Linked DNA regions of Drosophila melanogaster. The protein of the gene in region 1 interacts with the protein of each later gene in a biochemical or structural test. Each region holds a gene or a part of one and is shown on either strand. Other genes may lie near its edges.

Evidence for each region. The genes of interacting proteins can lie anywhere in the genome.
Region 2: the proteins of Mcm2 (region 1) and Cdc45 form a complex in vitro, tested with the Drosophila melanogaster proteins (one study listed by BioGRID).

The regions. Positions count from the first base shown.
Region 1 is NT_033777.3:8,263,361-8,268,461, reverse strand, and holds Mcm2 (minichromosome maintenance 2), read right to left. Parts: upstream 3,493-5,101; 5' UTR 3,362-3,492; coding exon 1,223-3,361; intron 1,166-1,222; coding exon 641-1,165; 3' UTR 538-640; downstream 1-537. Other genes in the region: CG9630 (uncharacterized protein), read left to right, coding at 1-461; RPA1 (replication protein A1), read left to right, coding at 4,092-4,127, 4,189-4,433, 4,491-5,101. UniProt on the Drosophila melanogaster protein: Acts as a component of the MCM2-7 complex (MCM complex) which is the replicative helicase essential for 'once per cell cycle' DNA replication initiation and elongation in eukaryotic cells.
Region 2 is NC_004354.4:1,027,738-1,032,380, reverse strand, and holds Cdc45 (cell division cycle 45), read left to right. Parts: upstream 1-1,824; 5' UTR 1,825-2,053; coding exon 2,054-2,964; intron 2,965-3,016; coding exon 3,017-3,833; 3' UTR 3,834-4,090; downstream 4,091-4,643. Other genes in the region: CG14630 (uncharacterized protein), read right to left, coding at 271-857; Rpp21 (ribonuclease P/MRP subunit p21), read right to left, coding at 928-1,312, 1,372-1,538; CG3021 (uncharacterized protein), read right to left, coding at 4,231-4,643.

The DNA of each region.
Region 1 (5,101 bases):
CTGCTTACGGTCTCCTGCAACTGCCACGCATGCCGGAGCTAAAGAACTACCAGGGCGGCGGCTATGTGGCGCCTGCTTTTGAAGTGGATTTATCCAAACTTACCTACAAAAACGCCCAGAAAGAACAAGTCCGGCAAAAGAAAATGGAAACTTACGAGCAAACGGGAAGCTGGCCGGGCCAAAAGCAGCACAAAAAGCGTGTTGAGTCCTGGGATCAGACAAAGAAGGCAAAACTGGATGCCAAGTCTAAGAAGGAGCTGCGCAAGGCGAAGAAGCAGCGAAAGAAAGCGGCAGAGGCGGAGGCGAGCAGGTCCGGGAAGGGAAAAAAGAGGCAGCAGTTCAGCCAGGAGGACCTCGATGAACTGGCCAGCGATATTCGGCTCTTCAAGCGGCTGAAAAAGAACAAGATTAGCGAGGAAGATTTCGACAAAGCCATGGGCATCGAAGGGAACAACGATTGACATACTCTGGGGCTGATTTGTATGCACAATAAAAAATATTTACGGAAGTATAAATTTCAATTCAAATACCTATTTTAGTATAAATACATACATAAGTATATCAAACTTTATTAGACCGAAAATGGGGGTAACAAAACATGAATACTATAACTAAATGAGATGAAGTAAATGGCTGAAACTTAAGCTGTGTTGCCGTCGACCACAATTTGAAGGATGATGCGTCGCTTGGGATCGTAAGAGAAGCCATTTGTGCGAAACAGATCTGATTCGTAGAACGGCTTCAGGTTTACAATATCCAGCTGCTTAGCCCGTTCGATCAAATCCCGCTCCATAATCTCCACATGTGTGGCGCCAGGCCCGTCCTTGCAGCGAATGTAGGCGAGCTGGTCGAGCGTCAGCTGTCGCAGAATAAAGAACAGCAGCTCGGAATGGTCCTTTTGGAAGGACAGGTACTTCTGGAATGTGCTGCGCATCTTCTTCATAACGCTGAACTTCTGCGCCTCGATAAAGCTCTCCAACATCATGCGGATGGCCATGCTGACATCTGCCTCCATTACGTTTTCGCGCAGATGCATCCGCGCGTGCGCTTCGGACATTCGGATGACACTCTCAATGTGACGCACCGTAATGGGCAGTGAGCCCGTGGCAAAAGACTCCTGTCGCAGCTGGGCGTACATCTTGGCGATCTTGTCCTCGTCGATGTTCTGTATGAAACGGAAATGTTGTTACACTTTTCCTGTGATTTCAATAAGTTCGCTTACCGTTAGCTTGGGCCGAATGTTCTCCTTAGCGTATACAATGTATTGTCGCAACAAGTCCTGCGGGATCTCATCAACGGTCTTCAGCTGTGGTTCCTCCAACTCCGGCTGCTCCTCCTCACTCGGGTGATGCTTCATATGCGAGTGTACCACGAATTTGGCGAGCTGCTGATCCTGCATGGGGTCAAATTCGTCCTTCACCACGCACAGCACATCGAAACGGGACAGGATGGGCTCCGAGAGATTCACGTTCTCCGAGAAGGTCATCGACGGATCATAGCGACCGCCAATGGGATTGGCAGCAGCAATCACGGTGCAACGAGCTTGAAGAGAGGTGACAATACCAGCCTTGGAAATCGAAATAGACTGCTGCTCCATGGCTTCGTGAATAGAGGTACGATCCTGGTCGTTCATTTTGTCGAACTCGTCGATTAGACAAACTCCCTGATCAGCCAGAACCAGAGCACCCGCTTCCAATGTCCACTCCCGAGATACTGGATTGCGGCGCACATAAGCCGTGAGACCCACGGCACTGGCTCCCTGCCCAGTCGTGAAAACCGCACGTGGCGCAACCTTTTCGGTGTACTTGAGGAACTGCGACTTTGCCGTTCCGGGATCTCCACAGATGAGTAGGTTTATATCACCTCTAACCTTGTGTTTCTCACCGGGATTCTTTGACTCACCCCCAAAGAGAGCTAAGGCCAGCGCCCTCTTGATATAATCATGTCCGTATATAGAAGGCGCCATGGATGCTACTACACGCTCTACGATACGCGGATCCTTGCTCAACTTCTGAATGGTGGCAATGTCCTCGTCCGTAAGCGACTGCACTACCTGCTTGGAGTCCTTTACAACCACATGATTGGCAATAATCACGGTGGCAAACACGGGAAATCCTTGGTCGGTGTTCAAGGAGCCATCGTAGTTATTGGTATATATACCTGTGACCTCAAGTTCATCTCCAGGCTTGCATTGATCACACAAATCAGCGAGCAAAATGACATCCTTGCTGCGAGGAATGCGTCCGGCTGGAATCCTGCCTGGCGACTCCTGCAACGTGATCTTTTGATAATTTCGATACAACGTCTGCTCCATGTTGATTGAGAAGGGTCCAGTGCTCTGGCACTCTGGGCAGGAACCGGGCTTTATCTCCGTATTTTGCGACTGAACGAAGGGACCCAGCACATAGCCGCACTTAACGCAGTCGTACTTGATCACGGATAGCTGGGGAAGAACTCCGGTGGTGGCAGTTACCACGCCCAAAGTGCGAACCAACTGGTTCAGATGCAGTTTTCTGAATGTGCGCAGCTCCTCGATCAGCGGCAGCTCCGAGATGCGCACGTGAATCTCTGTGGTGACACGTTCGTAAGTGGGGAAAATGGAGAGCACCATGTCCTTAGCCACTTTATCGAAAATCTCGAGCATTTGAAAGGGAGCCTCGGGCAGGAAATAGGCCAATACGTGTTCCTTGTTGGCCAGATCAGTGTAGGAGACGACGAACGAAGACATGTTCTGCTCGCACATCCGACGTATGCGATCACGATAGGTGTATGCGCCCCTTTCATCCACAAAAGTTCTCAAAAAGGATTGAAAGCGATTGGCGATTTCCGTGCGTGGTCCTAGCATACTGACCCACTCTTTAGTTGAGTGTCCCTTGGTATCCTCCAGGTTTTCAATAGACTCCACCATCTCGGTGTCCTCTACCTCGCCAACAGCTGCCTTCTCGCCAGCTCGTCTCTTGGCCCGGGGTCCAACGTCGTCCTCATCATCGGACTGACCGAAACCCAGATCACGATCGTCGCGGTGGATTCCGGCGGCCCGGTCGCGTCGACGCATCTCCGACTCGGCGGCAAAGCGATCGCCCTGGGACATCTCCGAGAAGTCATCCTCGTCGTCCAGCAGCGCCGGATCGTAGTGATCCAGCTCAGGCATGGGCCGGTAATCGTTCTCCATGTTGTCCCCGAACAGCTCCTCGCCATCCTCCTCCTCGGCCTCATCGCGAACGGTCTGATCTCCCAGGATCTCGTCCTCGTTCTCGAACGGCTCAAAGTCGCCAACCGGCGACGTCATTGCTGCCCGCAGATCGCGGCGTTCGGCGGCATCGCTGGGCGTATTTGGCGGTGGTGAACTGGGATTGTCCATTACGTGCGTCTGTTGTGCTTAGCGTTTATCTGTAATATGTTTTGTTTTGTACCGCCGATCTTGTTGTGACGACGCGTGCGAAAATGCGCGGGAAAATGTTTGCTAATCGAGCCAACTCAGGGCTGCGGTCTAGTTCCGATAAGCAGTGCTGTTAACGTCTGGGTCATACAGTGGACACCCGCTTCTGCATACATGTTTATAAGAACACCCGACTGTAACAACTTTCCTTGTGTCAATAAAATATCACCGAGTTTAAAGAGCTTACAAAAAATTTTAAATATATATATTACACCATTCAATTTAAAAAGTTTACAAGGCACTGAATGTAGGCTTTAATACAAAGAATGTGTCAATAAAATATCACACAGTTATTAAATATTTATAATTCCATTGAAATAGAAATGCTTACAATAACTAGTTGTGAGCATTAACACAAACAATGTAAGTCAAGCTTAAAGCTATGTGTCAAAATAATAGACAATTATTCTCAATATGTTGCTGTAGGAAATAGTAATAATAAAGTAAAATAAATGTTTTCTCTTAAGCAACCAAAACTTTACTGCCCTGAAATACAGCTCTAACTGGAAAGCAAATTGAACTAGTTCCGCAACAACTGATTCAAAATTACACAGAAGCCCTTCCCGCCTCTTCTAGCTTCACTTTGTACCCAGCCCTCGACGCATGAATTATATTTGCTTGTGAAATTGCCCAACTTATTTTTATAATCAAAATGGTCCTGGCATCTTTGTCCACTGGTGTGATTGCTGTAAGTATGCCAGCTTAAAATAATGGATTGGTATAGTAACACATCGTACTACCGGCCACAGCGCATTATGCATGGCGAGGTTGTGGATGCCCCGGTTCTCCAGATCCTGGCAATCAAGAAGATTAACAGCGCAGCGGACTCAGAGCGCTATCGCATCCTAATCTCCGACGGCAAGTACTTTAACAGCTATGCGATGCTGGCCAGTCAGCTGAACGTGATGCAGCACAATGGAGAATTAGAGGAGTTCACCATTGTCCAGCTAGATAAATATGTGACCTCACTGGTAGGCAAGGACGGAGCCGGAAAGTAAGTACGCTGTAAAACAGACTTTCGACAGTATAGTAACATATGTTTTCCTTTTAGACGCGTTCTCATCATTTCCGAACTAACTGTGGTGAATCCTGGCGCCGAGGTTAAGTCCAAAATTGGCGAACCCGTTACGTATGAAAATGCAGCCAAGCAGGATCTGGCGCCTAAGCCAGCAGTAACATCTAATTCCAAGCCAATTGCCAAAAAGGAACCGAGCCACAACAACAATAATAACATAGTAATGAATTCCTCTATTAATAGTGGAATGACACATCCCATTTCTAGCCTAAGTCCCTACCAAAATAAGTGGGTGATTAAGGCTCGCGTGACCTCAAAATCCGGCATTCGCACCTGGAGCAATGCCCGCGGCGAGGGCAAGTTGTTCAGCATGGATTTAATGGACGAATCGGGCGAAATTCGGGCCACTGCCTTCAAGGAACAGTGCGATAAGTTCTACGACCTCATTCAAGTGGATAGCGTGTACTATATATCAAAGTGTCAATTGAAACCGGCAAACAAGCAGTACTCTTCGCTGAACAACGCCTACGAGATGACTTTTTCCGGTGAAACAGTTGTCCAGCTTTGTGAGGATACCGACGATGATCCCATACCGGAAATTAAGTACAACCTTGTTCCTATTTCCGATGTGTCGGGTATGGAAAATA
Region 2 (4,643 bases), on another chromosome or scaffold:
GTAATGCAACTAAGGTGTTTTCCCTTTTAATTTATGAAATGTGGCTAGCATATTCTGTAGTAGTATCTAGCGTGAGTAAGTGGTAATCAAATCTTTATCATGAGTACAAATGGACACCTGGTTGAAAATATTTGCCTGATTCTGGCTGTAACAATCAACCGATAGTGATAATATTTAGTGGACTGATAGATAATACAGCTCTCGGCAAATGTGAGTTTTATGACCCTGGTACTGTACGATGAAGTATGTCATCTATTGGTTAATATTTACCCGTAGGTGGTGCGTTTTATGTAGCCAATTCGTTCGGCCAATTTCTTAGCCACATTTATGTCGTTGGGTGCCCCTTTCAGAATGGCGAATCCTTGGACTGCCAGTGCCTCAAGCCAAACTCTCAGGGCTGCATCTTGCTCCAGCACATCCTCGTATTGGAATTCTCTTTTCACATCCTCGAACTCCGTTTTTCCCCAGAGTTGAGCGGGTGGCTTGTAGACCTCCTCCAAGTAATGCTTTCTGCCAGTCTCTCCAAAGTCCCTTTCCCTCAGCCAGCCTAGATCGAAGGTGCTCCTGTGCTTGTCCTGCCAGATGATCTCCAACTGTTTCCTCTCCTTGTTGTAGGCCACTTGGGACACTGGTATATTCAGCGGGCCACGATCCCAGTGACTTTTTCTTGCTCTTGTGGCGGCGTGGAAGCACTCGGCACACTGACAGTTGTCCCTAAGCCAAACTTGGGGGTACTTCAGGAGATTGCCCTGCTCCTCCTGGACTTCTACATAGTCGGGGCATAGTCGCACACAAGCAAATGTGCTCGCCTGCCGAAGAAGGCTCAGCCGAGAAATAAGTTGCCTACAGCTAAGCATTCCAGGCTCAACTGCCGAGCAATCAGGTGATGGCACAACAGGCAGGCTGGCTGATAAGCAAAGCTTCAGCTTATCGCTCGTCTTTCTCTTTGGGGAGCGAGACCACTTGCACTATGGATTGCGGCTGCTCCAACCAGCAGTCTCTTTGACTGTTCGCCGCAAAGCTTCGCCGGCCGCAGCAGAGTGAGCACTCTAAGAAAAAAGAGACCTGTTCAGTACTTTCTTGGATTTGCTCCTCGGATTCCTCCTGGTTGGTGTTCCCTGTTTTCCGGCTTCTGGGCTTCTTGCGCTGCCTGCGATGGCGCTTTTTCTTCGTTTTGACTGCTCCGTTCGATTGAGCTTGTGCATCAGTCTTGGCCTCCTGTGCTCCTTCCTCCACATGCAGCTCCGTATTCACTCCGGGAATCAGGGGAAGGAAACAGCGCCTGCACAGGGAACGCTTCACGGCCGGGGCCCTTGAAACCAGTTGACGCCATGAATTATTTGCCCATACTCCACTGGAGAAGCCACTTACATGTGCATGATAGCCTTGGTGCCCACATTGCGGCAGAGTTTGCCATAATAGGCGGCCAATTTTGGTTGATTGCCTACTGCCATTAAATTCGAGGCCTGGAACAGGTAGTTCATGCGTGAGGAGATGGCCCGCTGGGTCAGGTGCTTCATCTTGTTGTCCCTGCTCATATTCTGAGGCTTTTGTCGCACAAAGCTGGTCGACTGGTAGACTTTCGTTTTTGTGGCAATTCAAAACACATGGGCGTCGCGGTGTGACCGTATCTGGAGCGCCAAGATATTGCTCCTACTGCAATAGCAGCAACTGCAAAGAGCTCTCAAAATTCAACATTATGTGATTATAATTTCGGTTTTTGGCAGCTCAAAATTTCTGGAAATTCGCAGAATATTCTTTTCCCAGCAACGATTGTATTTCCGCGCCATTCCATTATTTCACACTGGTCACACTGGCTAAGCCAGCTGTTTCCCGCGTTTTTGATTCGCCAATTGCGATTGCCAGAAAAGCAAAAGTGGAGCGGCAGTGGGAAGCTGGAAAATAGCGCAAGCCGCAGGGAAACCCTCAAAATGCAACGCACTGCACTCATGTAGAATTCTACTTTGCATCGTAAGCGATTGGAAAGAGACCGTTGTGTCTAGACGTAGACAGATTAGGCAGACGATTGGGATTCCCGCCAGAAGTGTTCACCATGTTTGTCCAGGATCTGCGCAACGACTTTTACCGCCAGCTGGTTGGCAAGCGCATCTTGATCGTGGTCAACTACGACATCGATGCCATCTGCGCCAGTCGCATCCTGCAGGCCTTGTTCAAGTACGATCACATGCTGTACACCGTGGTGCCCATAATGGGCGTTACGGGTCTGAAGCGGGCCTATGGAGAGCACCAGGGCGACGTTAAGTACGTGGTGTTGGTGAACTGCGGCGGCTGTGTAGATATTGTGGAGCTCCTGCAGCCGTCGGACGACGTGACCTTCTTCATATGCGATTCACATCGCCCGTTGGATGTGTGTAACATCTACAGCGATCGGCAGGTGTGCATCTTGGGGGATGCCTCCTTGGAGGAGAATATTCCAGCGTTCGAGACAATTTTCTATGACTCTGAAGGTGAAGACGAGGATGAGGACGAGTCCTCTGACACGGAACAGCAGCACGACGACAGTGGTGCCGGGGAATCGGACCAGGAGGATCAGGCGCCAAGGAGCCGTAAGCTCAGTCGCCTGGAGCGGCACGAGCAACGCATCCTGAAGCAGCGAGCCCGCCGACAGTGGGAGTCTGAGCGCGACAGGATTATGTTCGAGTACACGCAGTTCAGCTACTACGGCAGGTCCGCCGCTTTGATGGTTTTTGAGTTGGCCTGGAAGCTCTCAAAAGACAACATGGACCTGCTCTGGTGGGCCATTGTGGGCATCACGGAGCAGCTGCTGCTGGGCAAGATCGAGAGTGGAGCGTATACTTTGGAGCTGGAGCAAATCCAGTCGCATGTGTCCCGACTGACGAACAAAACGAATGATCAGAACACGATGAGTGCCTCCAAGATAACCTTCGAGAATGATTTGCATCTGGTCTTGTACCGCCACTGGCCCGTCACGGAATCCATGAGGTGAGCATTGACAGTGTATTCTATGCCATTTAATCATGTAGTATAATCGTAGGTATTCCCGCTACTCCTCATGCCAGCTGAAGCTGTGGACACTGCGCGGAGAGAAGAGATTACACGAGCTGCTGCTCGAGATGGGACTTCCCTTGGTGCACGCCCGCCAAACGTACGGAGCCATGGATTTGGTGTTGCGCAAGGAGTTCTTCTCGATGGTGGAGCGCCTGGCGGAGAAGTACGACATAGCGGACATAGTTTACGGCACCTTTACGCTGAGCTACGGCTACCGCAGCAGATATGCTGCGGCGGACTACGTTTATGCCCTGCTCGCCATCATGGAGTCCGTGAAGAAGCACAAGACTCCGGAGGATTGCTTTCTGGAGGCCTCGGATGCTTTGAGTCGTCAGCACAAGCAGCTGCTGTCTGCAGGCATCGACCAGGCGAAGCTTTTGCATGCTGCTGTCTTTCGGCAGGTGCAGAGCAGCTTGGAGGCACGCCAAGTTCATTCAGCGGGCTCCTTTTTCTACTACGTTCTGCAGGAGGAACACGCGTTCTTCTCATACCCCTATGCCCTTGGACTGTTGGCTCGCTTTCTTTTGCGCGGACATGTGGCCACGAGTAGAGCCAGGCAGGCTTCGGACTTGCCGTTGATCGCAAGTTGTCCCCTGAACGCTTCGGAGGGCATGTGCTTGCTGGTAGGCATTGTCCCGGTAAGGGAAGACTCTCCGCGAAACTTCTTTGGCAAGGCCTTCGAGCAGGCGGCGCAAAAGAGTGGAGTCGCTCTATTGCAGGACTTTTTCGAGCCAGCGGTGGTGCAGCTGCGGCAGAGCGACCTCACACGCTTTCTGGACTCCCTCACGGTGCTGTTAGCCTAATCCACGCCGCTTTCTATTCTACCTGCTACCGACACATCCCTGCTCAATCATATTATGTGCTAAGCTAGTTTTATATCGCGAGACCTCACGTGTACACTTAGTTTAAGATTTTACCAAACCCTATTTATGTACGATTGTGTGTTAATAACTTTATCATTGCTCCCAGGACCACAAAATGCAAAATGTCCTTTTTCAAAAACTAATTGTAAATTTGACCTAGAATAATAAATTTAAATTAAAGTGTTTACCATGGAATTAAAAGTGTCGATTCACGTCTAAAATTTACTCGGCGCTTAAATTTATGAAAACGTATTTACCATGCTATCTATACATGCCGTGTTGGCAGTTGGACTGCCTTCTTACATTTGGTTTATTTTCTGGCTCAGAGGAAACATCATTAGCTAACCAGATTTGCGGCTTGAGCTTGCTGCGTCTGTGCGTTTTTTTTCTTTAGGGGATTAGCGCTGAGGATGCGGGCCGAACCCAAACAAGCTGTGTCGTCATAGAATACGGCATATTGTCCTGGTGTAATAGCTCTTAAAGGAGCGTCCAACTCGACAAGAAAAGTGTTACTGGGAGAGATGCTCAGCTGACAGTCCACCAATGGTTTGGTGTGCTGGAATCGAAAGCGACACCTCAAGCTGCCAGTGTCCGAAAGAATCTGTTGGGACTTGGAACACAGCCAGTTGGGCGGATCGACGGCTATGTGGGTGCTGAGAAGGGCGGGATGGTTGTGGCCAGATGCCACATAGATGGTATTGCTTGCGGCCTCTTTCCTGGCCACAAAATAGGGCTGAAGGAATGAGCTCA